Caenorhabditis elegans: one gene and its partner. The protein of the gene in region 1 interacts with the protein of each later gene in a pairwise test. Each region holds a gene or a part of one and is shown in the gene's direction. Other genes may lie near its edges.

Evidence for each region. Proteins that work in one complex are often made in the same cells at the same time.
Region 2: the proteins of math-41 (region 1) and B0336.7 interact in a two-hybrid assay, tested with the Caenorhabditis elegans proteins (one large-scale study listed by BioGRID).

What each region holds. Positions count from the first base shown.
Region 1 is NC_003280.10:1,822,748-1,830,634, forward strand, and holds math-41 (MATH domain-containing protein), read left to right. Parts: upstream 1-1,881; 5' UTR 1,882-1,892; coding exon 1,893-1,962; intron 1,963-2,013; coding exon 2,014-3,012; intron 3,013-3,062; coding exon 3,063-3,200; intron 3,201-6,181; coding exon 6,182-6,302; intron 6,303-6,349; coding exon 6,350-6,624; intron 6,625-6,718; coding exon 6,719-6,845; intron 6,846-6,892; coding exon 6,893-7,277; 3' UTR 7,278-7,481; downstream 7,482-7,887. Other genes in the region: fbxc-19 (F-box domain-containing protein), read left to right, coding at 1-87, 137-254.
Region 2 is NC_003281.10:5,694,229-5,699,110, reverse strand, and holds B0336.7 (THAP-type domain-containing protein), read left to right. Parts: upstream 1-1,744; 5' UTR 1,745-1,762; coding exon 1,763-1,771; intron 1,772-1,817; exon of another isoform or gene 1,818-1,820; coding exon 1,821-2,037; intron 2,038-2,199; coding exon 2,200-2,346; intron 2,347-2,477; coding exon 2,478-2,686; intron 2,687-2,959; coding exon 2,960-3,411; intron 3,412-3,856; coding exon 3,857-4,328; 3' UTR 4,329-4,382; downstream 4,383-4,882. Other genes in the region: Regulator of G-protein signaling rgs-5, read right to left, coding at 182-313, 369-420; lgg-3 (Ubiquitin-like protein atg-12), read left to right, coding at 1,101-1,280, 1,332-1,424, 1,478-1,561; B0336.13 (Transcription initiation factor IIA small chain homolog), read right to left, coding at 4,530-4,662, 4,777-4,882.

The sequences.
Region 1 (7,887 bases):
GGATTTTGACACTCATTATTCATTTGAAGGGATAAATGAGCAAGCGATTTTTAAGGCACTTGAGTTGCAGACCCGTGTTTATAAAGAGTAAGTTGTCTTGTGTTAGATATGTATATTGTAGGTTTTTCTATTGCAGAATAAGGCATAACTGTGTCACTTTTTACAAGGAAAACTTCATGGATATTGTGGTCAGTTACAATGTGAACACGTGCATTTTGGATGTGAAAGTTCAGAGACAAGAGTTTTTTGTTTAAGCTCTAATTTAATTAAATCAATAAAAATAATTTGTTAATTTTATTTTTACACATTTTTTGGCTGACCGTCATGGATCAAGGCCTGAATATCTCAAAAACAGCACGGTTAAGTATAATTCTTAGTTTGGTATCTGAAAGAGCATAGTTGCTAACATTTTTTGGTGAATTTTAGGAAAATTTGTGGGTATGGTCTTTTAGAAACTTTCGGTTTCTTCAAGATTTTCGAATTTAGTACGGAAATTCATGGAACCCTTTTTGGTTTTACGAATAATCAAGCACGTTTTAAGCACTATTTGTGTGAAAAATTTGCCAAATTTGGCTCAAAGAGCAAAATTTGACAAAGTCAAACGAATCATGACTGAAAAAAATTTCGATTATTTTTCCGCCGAAATTTCTAAAAGCAATCTCGATTTCAAGTAATTTCTCATTATTTCAAACCTAAAGATAAGCCAAAGCCTCCTGCCTTTATGTACTTTTAGTCCAAATTTAAGCCATACTGGGACTAGAAAGATTTACTTTCCCTGAACCAAGATTCACCCCCCCCCCCCCCCATATTTTTGGAAAAAACATTTAAACTTCTCACTTTTGTTTGATTTTTCAGTGGTGTATTTTCCAAGCGTATGTAAATGTGAATCACCTATTTTATTATCAATTTACCACCCACATCTCAATGAAGTGTTTAAACAGTGCCTAAACTGTCTTCCCAAGTTTCGAACCTTATCAATTTTCTCTTTCTGAGTCTCGCAAATTTTCATTTCACCCGGTACTTTAAGGCGATCGCTTACATTTTGTGTGGCGCCGGTCTGTTATCAGTTTTTATATGTGCCTGTGTGCGTGTGTGTTGTGCATGAAGAGTCGTTTATTATGACTTTTCTAACCAACTTGATTTAGTCTTCAATCGCTCTTCTCACTATTTTTACAGGAATACTGTTGCTTTATGTATAAGGAATAATTTTAATTTTATTATCATTTTTATTAGAAATAATTTTAATTAAACTCTCATCTCAACTTTCGAAATTTCCATCTCAAATTTTTTCCGTGAATTTTTCCACTACTTTAGAGGCCTGTATGGTTTTGTTGAAATAGTGTTTTTGCAAACTTTCAATGTTATTCAAAATATTTAAGGGTAGGTAAACATTTTAGGAAAGTTTTCGAAAATTTCTTTGCCGCATACTGGCGAGAAATTATCCAAAAACGGTATTTATGGGTTTCGATCCCCCCAAAAAGTACCCCAAAGGATTAAAAGGATTAAAGGACGATCCGTTCTTCAAGTGCTATGCACTGCGGATCTGGGATTCAGGTACACTGCCTGGTGGTGATCCCTCACTTTTCATAATTTTTACCTGTCCTTGAAAAGTTTCAGCATCTGGTGCAATTATAGAGGCCTCGAAATTAGTGAAAAAATGTACTGAAAAATGTTTAGATCAAAATTAAAGGCTCAACATTTTGCAGTGACCACCCTTCAGTATATATTTTTCAAATGACACATGTCTCGTTTTGAAATGTAACGGTAAAATGAAAACATTTTTTTAGACAAAAAACCTTGCATCTCTGTTGTTCTCATTGTTAAAATTTTGCTTGCACAAAAGTGTACTCGAAATACGGTTTTTACTCTTAACATTTACAGAAAAAGGCATAATGGCCAACCAAGATCAAAACTATTTAGGACCACGGACTCATCCTCCAAATCTTCAAAAATCTACATCATGTGAGTTTATGACATATGTATAAATAAAATTTAAAATGTATTAATTTTCAGTTTCTGGTGCAAAATTGCACTATCAGTATCAGTACACTGGAAAAGAACAAAAAACGAGCAGTTCCAAAGATGAATCCCGTGTACATCATTCTGAAAGTAGAAGTCCACGTTTGTCAAAACACTTGGCAGAGGATGATGGAAGTGGATCAACACTGGACCAACGTTTATCAAGGCAATTAACAGTTGATTATGGTGGTGGCTCAACAGTGGATCAACGATCGCAGCTGGGAACTTCGGGCACAAAGTATCTCACAACTGTGCAATCATCAAACTTAGACTCGGCTGCTTCACCACTATCTTTCTCTGGGCACACAGCACCATCAAAAATAGCTGTAGTACGTGAAACTCTGCCCGTGTCTTCTCAAGCAAGCATATTTCCAACGAGCTACAGGAGCTCTCAGTATCCATTCCTAAATCCGTCCACGAAAGTAACTACGACTCCGCCAATACAACAATCACATCTTGGCACAAGCCGTCTCACAACTGTGCAATCATCGAACTTAGACAGAAGTCCTTCACCGTCACGATCGAGATATATGAACAGTCGAGATCGTCGTAAAACAACAACAATCATCCCATCTTCAATTCCACAGTCCAGTGAGTATAAATCAGCTTTCCAAAGGGAAGCCCCAGCAGTGTACTTCAATCAACATACAGAATCTCAATCAACATACAAGCCTCTGCCCATGAGCTCTCAGACGCAAAATAGGAATCTCACAATAGGATACACTCCAAATCAGTTTCAAGAAATTGAAAGAGCTCAGCGGGAATTCAAGAATCAGAAGAAACAGGAGGAAGAAATTCGGGCTAAACTTGATCGGAGAAGAATTGAAGAATCGCAGCGGCTGGAAGCAGAAAGGTTCGCATTGGAAGCAACAATGGTTGATGAAGATGAAGACGTGGCAAAGTTTATCCGCAATCCTGAAGAAAGATTCAAAGACTCACGTGATTCAAAAAAACTTGAATGGCGCTCTCGTAGGGCGCCAAATCAACCAGAGCGTAGGTATTCCATTTTAGAAACAATATATCTCCACTTTTTGATTTTACAGAGGTGTGCGGCGAATCATGCGAAAATGCCAAGCTCGGCAAATTCGGAAAATTTGCCAAGCTCAGCAAATATGGCAAATTTGCCAGGCTCGGCAAATTCGGCAAATTTGCCACGCTCGGCAAATTCAGCAAATATTATAGTAAAAAATGTTTAACAAATTCTAAATTTTATATGATTTTTTGAAATTTAGAAAAAGCTCAATGTTTGTAAATTTTTTTTGGAAGTCATTTATCAAAAAAAAAACAATTCTCCTTTGAATTTTATGGCTTACTTGTTTTTCAAATATTATATTATATTATATTATAATATTATATATTATAATATTATATATATAATATTATAATATTAAATATTATAATAGTGGAGTGGCACCAAAAATTTTGAATTTTTTCAAAGTTTCCAGTCAAAGTTCTGGCACACTGCCAAATTTTTGAAAAATATATGTTTTTAAAGAAATCCAAAGCAATGTCGCATGTTCTGACCTCTAGAGTGTTTTGGCACACTTAATTAATATAAAATTAAAGTATAAAAATCGTAGGAAATTTTTTTTGGTCGACTTCCAAAATTATGAATGGCAAAACTGAGTAATTGTACCTTTTTGACAGTAAATAAAAAATTTTCAATTTTTCTCGAAAAGTTTTACTATGATATTTGGTTACTATGATACTCTTTCTGTACTAAGCCTCTTCGTGGCGAAAGGGATCAACAGATAACCACTTCAACAAACTCGATGATTTCGTCACATCGAGAGTGGCTTGGTTTGGAACCAAGTGCAAATTATCTGGCCAAGAAGTACACCGTCTCACGCAGGTCAGAGGTAGTGTCGAATACTCTCTGTCCGGGCGGCTCTAGATTGGCAGGTCATTATAGAGTATCTAGAGACACAACTTTTGCTCTAAACAGCAACCCACCCTGCCTCAGTCCTCCGCATCCGGCCTCTGCAAAGGGAAAGACAGTTCCTGGAGCACGTCGGAAGAGGCGATCTAATCTCGGAGTCCAAACCATCTGTCAATCGGACTTGGAAATTAAGAAGCCGCGGGACAAAACAAGAAGAACTGACTATCGCGTGTGCACATTCAACTGCAGGTCCTTGTCTTCGGATGATCGACTTGCTGAGCTGCTAGAAGAGACGAGGCGGATCCAATTCGACGTCATCGGATTGTGTGAAACCAAACGAGCAGCCGAAGCACACTTGATACATCAGGACGGTACCGGTGTCTTCTTAGGCAAACGGAATGAAAGTTCTGTATCCGGAGGGGTCGGCTTCATAGTTCAAAGCACCCTCCTTCCCAAAATCGTAGAAATACGATTTCTCAGTCACCGCATCGGCTTACTCACCTTCAAAGTGAGCCGAAAATTCAACTGCACGGTGATTCAAGTCTATGCTCCAACTGCGGACTCAGACCTTGAGGAAATCTGCGACTTCTACGACAGTGTTGTAGACGTCTTCAGAGAGTGCCGAAGCAAGTACAGTGCTCCACATAATGATACGGCCACCCCCAAATTTTGATATAACTCAAAACTGGGTTGAGATAGCAAAACATAGTTTCTTGTGAAAATGTTCGCTGTACTGACTAGCTTACAGATAAGTATTGGAAGTATACCTGAACCGTTCGTAAAAAAGATAAACCATTTTTTCATGAAAAACCATTTTTAAAAATCCACAAAATGATACGGCCGCCCTTGGTTTTTGTTATATTTTTCCGTTTTCTTTGCAATTTTTTTTTGCAAAGCGTTAGTTTTCATGTTCGTTCGTGTTTTTACAGCTATGGGTCGTGGAATAACTTTAAATGACTACAAAAAAGGACAAATTGAGCAAAATTATCTCAAGGCTTCTCGCATCGTTAGATTTCTCGTGATTTGAAACGTTTGAGAGATATGATCACTCGATATGCTTTCAATCCTGCCGCTTATTGCACCAAAAAGTGTTCTGGTCCCCCACCACTTCTTTCTGGTAGAGACAAGCTAGATATCGTTCGTCGAGCATCCAATTGAACAGTACCTTGCTCAAAAATTAGGAGCGAGATGAATCTGGCAGTGTCTGTTGAGACCGTACGACATTTTTTTTTTGAAATCTCAGTTTAACAAAAGACGAAAATTAAGAAAGGCTCCTTTCATTACCAAAAAAACCGCCAAAACCATATTCAGTTTGCTTAAAACATCCAGAGAACTAACTGGAGACAAGTGAGGATTACGGTATAATCATTCAAGCCAATTTTTTAGTTTCAGTTCATCTTCAGTGACGAGAAAAAGTTCAACTGTGATAAACCGGATGGCTACCGTGATTACTGGCACGATTTGAGAAAAGAAAAGTTGAACTGAAACTAAAAAATTGGCTTGAATGATTATACCGTAATCCTCACTTGTCTCCAGTTAGTTCTCTGGATGTTTTAAGCAAACGGAATATGGTTTTGGCGGTTTTTTTGGTAATGAAAGGAGCCTTTCTTAATTTTCGTCTTTTGTTAAACTGAGATTTCAAAAAAAAAATGTCGTACGGTCTCAACAGACACTGCCAGATTCATCTCGCTCCTAATTTTTGAGCAAGGTACTGTTCAATTGGATGCTCGACGAACGATATATCGCTTGTCTCTACCAGAAAGAAGTGGTGGGGGACCAGAACACTTTTTGGTGCAATAAGCGGCAGGATTGGAAGCATATCGAGTGATCATATCTCTCGAAAGTTTCAAATCACGAAAAATCTGACGATTCGAGAAGCCTTGAGATAATTTGGCACAATTTGTCCTTTTTCGTAGTCAGTTGAAGTTATTCCACGACAACATAGCTGTAAAAACACAAACGAACATGAAACTTAACGTTTAGCAAAAAAAATTGCAAAGAAAACGAAAAAGACAACAAAAACCAAGGGTGGCCGTATCATTTTGTGGATTTTTTAATATGGTTTTTCATGAAAAAATGGTTTATCTTTTTTACGAACGGTTCAGTTATATTTCCAATACTTATCTGAAAGCAAGTTAGTATAGCAAACATTTTCACAAGAAACTATGTTTTGCTATCTCAACCCAGTTTTGAGTTATACCAAAATTTGGGGGTGGCCGTATCATTATGTGGAGCACTGTAGTAACTTTGCCCAAAAAAGTAGTCAAAAATCAACCTTTTCAGTACGTACAATGCCCAATTCTTGCAAAGAGTTTTCCATCAGCGAAAATGTTAAAAATATCTCACGATTTGTGGACGGAGAACGCTACCACACCAACTTAGAAGACCGATTCAATATTCCATGGTTAGTTTAACAAACTATTTTTGAAGTTAATATGGAGCATGTTTTAGGCGGATAAGGATCGAGAAGACAAATGATAATTTCCAGTTGTATTTAAGATGCGAAAAGGAAGAATGTGAAAACAGAAAATGGTCGATTGAAACTGAAATTACATTGAAATTGGTGTCACACAATGGAAAAAGTTTGATGAAAAACTGGAAATACACATTTGCAAAGCCGACAGGGCGTGGATTTGAGTTTATCAGTTGGAAGGAGTTGGAAAGTGATTATGTTGTGGATGATAGTATCGTGGTTGAAGCACATGTTAAGATATTAAACATTTTGGGTTAGTTATTATTGAATTCAAAAATCAAATACCTTTGGTTATGCTTTCATATTCTGATTAATTTTTTTCATCCGTCTTAAAAAACTGATTTCAGATTCTCCGTGCACTGAAACAATGAACCAGAAAACCTTTATGTTGAATCACACTGTTCAAAATGTTTCAAACATTAAAGAAAGAGGTATATATACTACCAACGTAGAAACACATTACAATATTCCTTGGTTAGTTATTTAAAATTACTATTTCAATATAGCTCTGTTAAATTCAGGAGAATAGAAATTCAAAGAAGAGAAGGTTTTTTTGGAATGTATCTACAATGTGAAAAAAAGCATTTTGACAGCAAGGACTGGTCTATTGAGGTGGAACTTGTTCTAACATTGAAGTCTTCAAATGGCCAAAGATTGTCTTTTACGGCATCAAGCACGCTTAACGAGCCTGCTAGTTACGGTTATGATAAATTAATTCGATGGGATGATATGGAGAGAAAGTATGCGGTCAACGACAGTATCATAATTGAAGCGCGTGTCAAAATTATAAAAATGACCGGATTTGAAGAGCGGCCACCTGTTGGAAGACTATCTGGAATTGTAATTCCAGTAGGAGATCGGGAATATTCAATGGAGGAGTGGATGGAGATGGCTTTTGGATGTTAATTTTGTAACTTGTAATATCCAAATTGGTCCAGTTTTATTTTTTCTAATTCTAAATAAAATGATTTCAAGTTTACAAAAATGTGGATGTAAAATATACTTAAAGAAATAACTTTATGGTGCTGATTTTCCTTATCAATATTTGAAAGTATGTCACTATATTTTTTCTCACAATTTATAAAACGAATAAAGAGAATAGAGCCGTGATCAACCTCTCAACCGCATTAAAGTACAGCTCCGAATGTCAGGAAACTCAGAGCTCCAATGTAAGCAGTGTGGGAGAAAGCATTGAGACTCATAAGACTTGGTAAACCTCGAAACACTAAAATGCCATCAGGAGAAAAATTTTCTCTACGCACTGATAACGAGCATAATGCTTGCTGGTTTGTCCAATTATTTTCCATTGACTGAATCATATCGATTTTATTGCTACTCCTTACTCACATTTTGCTCACTTTTATTTTTTAGTGGTGAAGCGCATTCCGATTTTTTTGCTCAATTTTATTGCTATATTTGTTTATTTATGCTTCCCACGGTCACAAGTCATCTATTGTTTTGTTTTTATAATTATATTTGTAACTTTGCCTTAAAAAAATAGTCGAAAATTTCTGTT
Region 2 (4,882 bases), on another chromosome or scaffold:
CAATTTTCTCTGACTCTGGGCCACGCCTCTTTTGTGGGCGGGGGTACGACGCGAGACTCTTGATCAATTTCGCCCTGTTATAAATGTTTTCCTACTTATCAACTAGTATTGGGTTACTTCATATTTTTTCGAGTTTTTCAGAATTTTTAAAATGTGTTCTCAGAAGTTACAATCAACTCACCGATATCCGCTGATTGTTGAGCAACTGTTAATGAATTTCTCTGTGCTGGAATACAAATATGATCATTTACAAGTGAATCTCTATGAGCATTCCCATTTTGATAAGCTCCGTCAGATGACGTGGCAGTATGACCTAAATTTTTTCAATTAGATTATCGATTCCTTACGTGGTTTTCTTAGAAACTTGCCATTTTGTTCTTTGTCTTTTTTGCGGCGAAGTCGCCCGAGAAAACTGCTCATTTTTCAATATTTTATGACATTTTCTGAGTAAAATTTAGAAAATCGAGCTTTATGAAATAAATAGAAGGGATTTATTTTTGTCCACAAGAGGGTTATCAACTTCTGCGCACCCCCTGTCTGCACGTCTCCGTCTCTTTTCTCTAAAGCACACGACAAACGCGTCAACGACCACTCGAAGAAACGAGGCAAGAAAATATATGTCAGCTGCGACCTTTTTTTAGCGTTTAAGAAATATTTTCTTCAATATTCTGAGAGAAATTCAAACTTCCGCCATTTTACTACAATAGTAATTGGTTTTTTTAAATTCCAGTCGAGACGCAAGTTCCCAGAGTTGATTGTGTTCCTTTACATTCTAGCGTTTTTCACGTTTGAAGTTTTCAAACTATAGCAAGTATAAATGCTTGTGTGTCAGATTTTTTTGTAAAATATTATTGAATTTTTAAAATTTTACGAGCTAATTAGTTTTTTAGATTTTAAAAACCCTGTTTTTTAAAAAAACACATCTTAAATCCAGTTCTTTCCATAAAATAGCAATATTCCAGGCGAGACCAAGGTCAAAATGTTAAGTATGTTCCTTCAAAGCAACCGTAGTTATCATTCAAATTTTTTTTCGAATTTTTTCGGCTCTAATACTTTATTCCCATTTGTTTTTTCTTTTTAAGTGGGGTTTTTTGCAGAAAATGGAAACAGAAACCGCCACAACTCCAACAGGAAATACGGAACCCACCGCTGCAGCTTCCGCCGAACCACCAAAGTCAGATAAGGTGACCGTAAGGCTGAGGAATATCGCAGATGCGCCAGTTCTTAAAAATAAGAAAATGGTGGTGAATCCAACGGACACTGTTGCTTCCTTCATCTTGGTAAGAATTGAAATTCTTAAAAAATGTGAAAATAATATTATTTTCTTCCAGAAATTGCGAAAACTGCTGAATATTCAAGCCAACAACTCACTCTTCTTGTACATTGATAACACATTTGCCCCATCTCCTGACACCACGTTTGAGGTTAGTTTTAATTTGAAAAACTCGATATAATTTTATAAAAATCAAATTTTCAGACGCTATCCCGATGTTATTCTGTGAAAATCACCGATAAGGAGATTCTGGAGCTTCAGTACAGCATTACACCGGCCTACGGATGAAAAACATGCGAAGCGGGATTTTTTAAATGTATTATATGTACTTGATGTCACAATAAATTCACTTATACCACAATTTCATTTTTACTTTTCAAAAAAATATAATATGTTTTTTCAAGTCTTTATCTACTTGCTATCTCCACTTCTCAAAGAAAGTAACAGGAAATAAATTTTAAAATATTTCAGATCTCTAGATAAAAGATAATGAGCAAGGTAAGTCTTAGAACTTTTTTAAACTGAAAAATTGAATCTCAAATTTAAGAAAATCGATCACGATGAGGATGATCGAGATTCGTCGGAATACGAGGAAATGGATGATGATGGGGAAGAAGCTGAGATTGATATGGAGCAACACGAGATGATTTATGAAAAGGATATTGAGCCGGTCGAGCAGTTTCAGCAGGAATATATTAGTGATCAGGAGCCAACTTCGAGCAATCATGAAGAAATTCCTGTTAGCATGAAAATTGACTACGAAGGTTCATTATTTATAGAACTACTGGAAAAATTGAAAAAAATCAAGTTTTGAAGTTTCCAAACATTTTTTTGGGAAATTGAAAATTTGATCTTCCAGGTCCAATTTATCTTTTGAAAAACTTTTAAAATTTGAGAAAAATCAAATTAAACATTAATTTTTACAGAAGTCTATCCACACAACGCCGTTCAAGTAGACAATGCTCACGAAATGGTTGAAGCTGAAAAAGTTTATTACGAGAATGAAATGGAAGATCTCGTTTATCATGAGATTTACAGAATTGAAGGCAATCAGAAACAGGAAAATTATAAGAGTATGTGCATTTAAAACTGGAATTTTGATTATTTAAAAAATCCGGTTAAAATTGCTAAAAAACGAAACAAAATTCAAATCTTTGCGAAAGGAAATCCAGAAAAAAAAATAACATGACCTTGAAATTTTCAGGAATCCGAAATATAGTTGGATCAAGCGCCTCCTGTCTCGTCTGCCAACGTTCCGAATCCGAAAAAATCCGTCTTTTCAAGTGGCCAAAATCAGAAGAACTCAAAGAGCAATGGTTACATTTCTTTCGGCTTCCAGCTACAGTACTTCAGAGTGCAACACAAGAACCATATATCTGTTGTTATCACTTCTCAGCCGACACTTTTGTCATGGTTAGTTGGAATTCTACGAATTTCATGAAAAAAATTATCTCAAAGCACGGAATTAAAAAAAAGAAAGTTTCTCCAAAAAAAAACATCAAAAGACCCATTTTCGCCAAAAACACAAAAAAAAACCAAAAAAGGCAAGTCCAACGATATTGGGAAAATTTGAATTTGTGAAAAAGTTTGAATATTACAAAAAAAGTTTATAGCAGGAAATTTTTTATTTTTCAAGCGAGTTTTTTGAATTTTGAATTTTTCTTTAGAATTAATATTTCTTTTCAGATCGATGATCGAATCTTCTGGAAAATGACCGCACTTCCAAAATATCGACAACGTCGTCCGGGGCTCGCCGAGCCATTTCCATGGGAGCCCGCTGTAAAGCATAAAATGGAAATGATGCAATCAACCGATACAACCAACAATTCTTCAGTCGTCGAGTACAAAATTCGCTATCGAATGCCTTTTAATAAGCATAAAACACGAAATGTTCATCAAGTTGCAGTAATGACTCCAGTTGCTCAACCACATTTATATTATGAATTTCATTTTAATCGATATGGTTTGAATAATACGAAATTCTACGCGTGTTTGAGTTGTCGAAAAGCAAAAACTGAAAGTGGAATTCGTGACGTCATTCGGACAATTCATCTCGATGGATATAAATTTTTGAGCAATGGAGATCCATTTAATGGACATCATTTTGCATGTAGACCTCATAATGTCTACGATTACAAGTATGTTTTTTCTTTTAAAAATATGAATTCACAGGATAAAATTCGATCAATGGGTCTTGGCAAAACATTTTTCAGCTACCGTACCCATGACAACGGTAGATTTGCAATACTTTTTCTTAAAACGTTTTTCAGTGATAATGTTGGAGAAAATTATTTTATTCATTTTTTCTATGTAATACAGGGAAACACTTCCACAATTTTAATTTTTATTTTTTAAACCTCCGATTGTCAAGAGAAAAGAAAATCTACCGTAACCGGAGGGTACGGTTGCCATAAAGTTTCAGTCGGGGCAAGACCTGAATTCAGATTTGAGTACAAAAATCGTGGCGAGACACGCCGAGGAAACATGTTTGCGTTTTTAAAATAGGCTTTCAAATCGTTTCAAAAATGACAATATACTTTAAGCATTTGATTTTTTTCTGATTTCCTAATCACTTCTTTTCAGATCATCTTGGCGTCCAGTTCCCGGTCAAAATGGAGAAGCCAATTTTCTCGATGAGGTTGTCTACGTTGATGAGGGTGGAAATTCCCTGGAATGGCATGCCGTGACCCGTCCCGGAGACAATCGAGAAGTTGAAGCGGTGCATGAGAAAGAGGATCCGCCGATTATGATGTATGATGGTAATTTCGAAGATCCCATCACCGAGGAAGTGATCGAAACGAATTATGTCTTGGATGAACCACCTGTACTATATTCCCAAGATCCGGATCGCAAGCCTAAGCCATCGAAAAAGTCCAGAATAAAGTGCCATCTATGCTTGAAGACCAGCTTTTCGTCAACACAAAGTCTGGTTGATCATCTTCAAAAGCACATTCTCGATGAGAAAGAATGCAAGCGTTGCCAGAAGCGGATCTCGTGTGATTCAAGAGCAATATGCATTCGGAGAGGTGTTTGCGGGAGTTGTTTTGTTGTTTAGATTTTCCTTGTTTGCATTTTTTCAAATCAATAAATTGTTGTTCGTTCGAAAAATATATTATAGGATTGAGAGAGATAGAGGAGGTCTTGCTGTGACAGCGTGAGAGATCTAGAAAAGAAATGAGCTGGGCCCATACAATAGAAAGCTTGTGTAAGAGAAGAAATTGGATTAGAAAATGAAACAATGATTTGGAAAGTTCATCTAATCACTGTCATCATCTTCATCGTCGCCTGCAGCGGCCGCGTGAGCTCGATTGACTCTCTTGGATGGTCCCTGGGCGCTCAATGTCTGCAGAAGGCTTGTTTGACGACCATCACAGGCGACCACTTTCAGTCTGAAATATTAATAATTATAGATCATCGAGAAACAAAAATTTTTATAGAAAATTAATAAACAATTGCTTTTTTCTAGATTTTTTATTTTTAATACAAATAAAAGAAACACTCACTTATCAATAGGCTCATCAAACGATCGCTGGGGATCTTTCAACGTGACATTATTGAGAATAAACGTCCAAACGTTATCACAATATCGATAAGTGAGCAGTTGTGTCG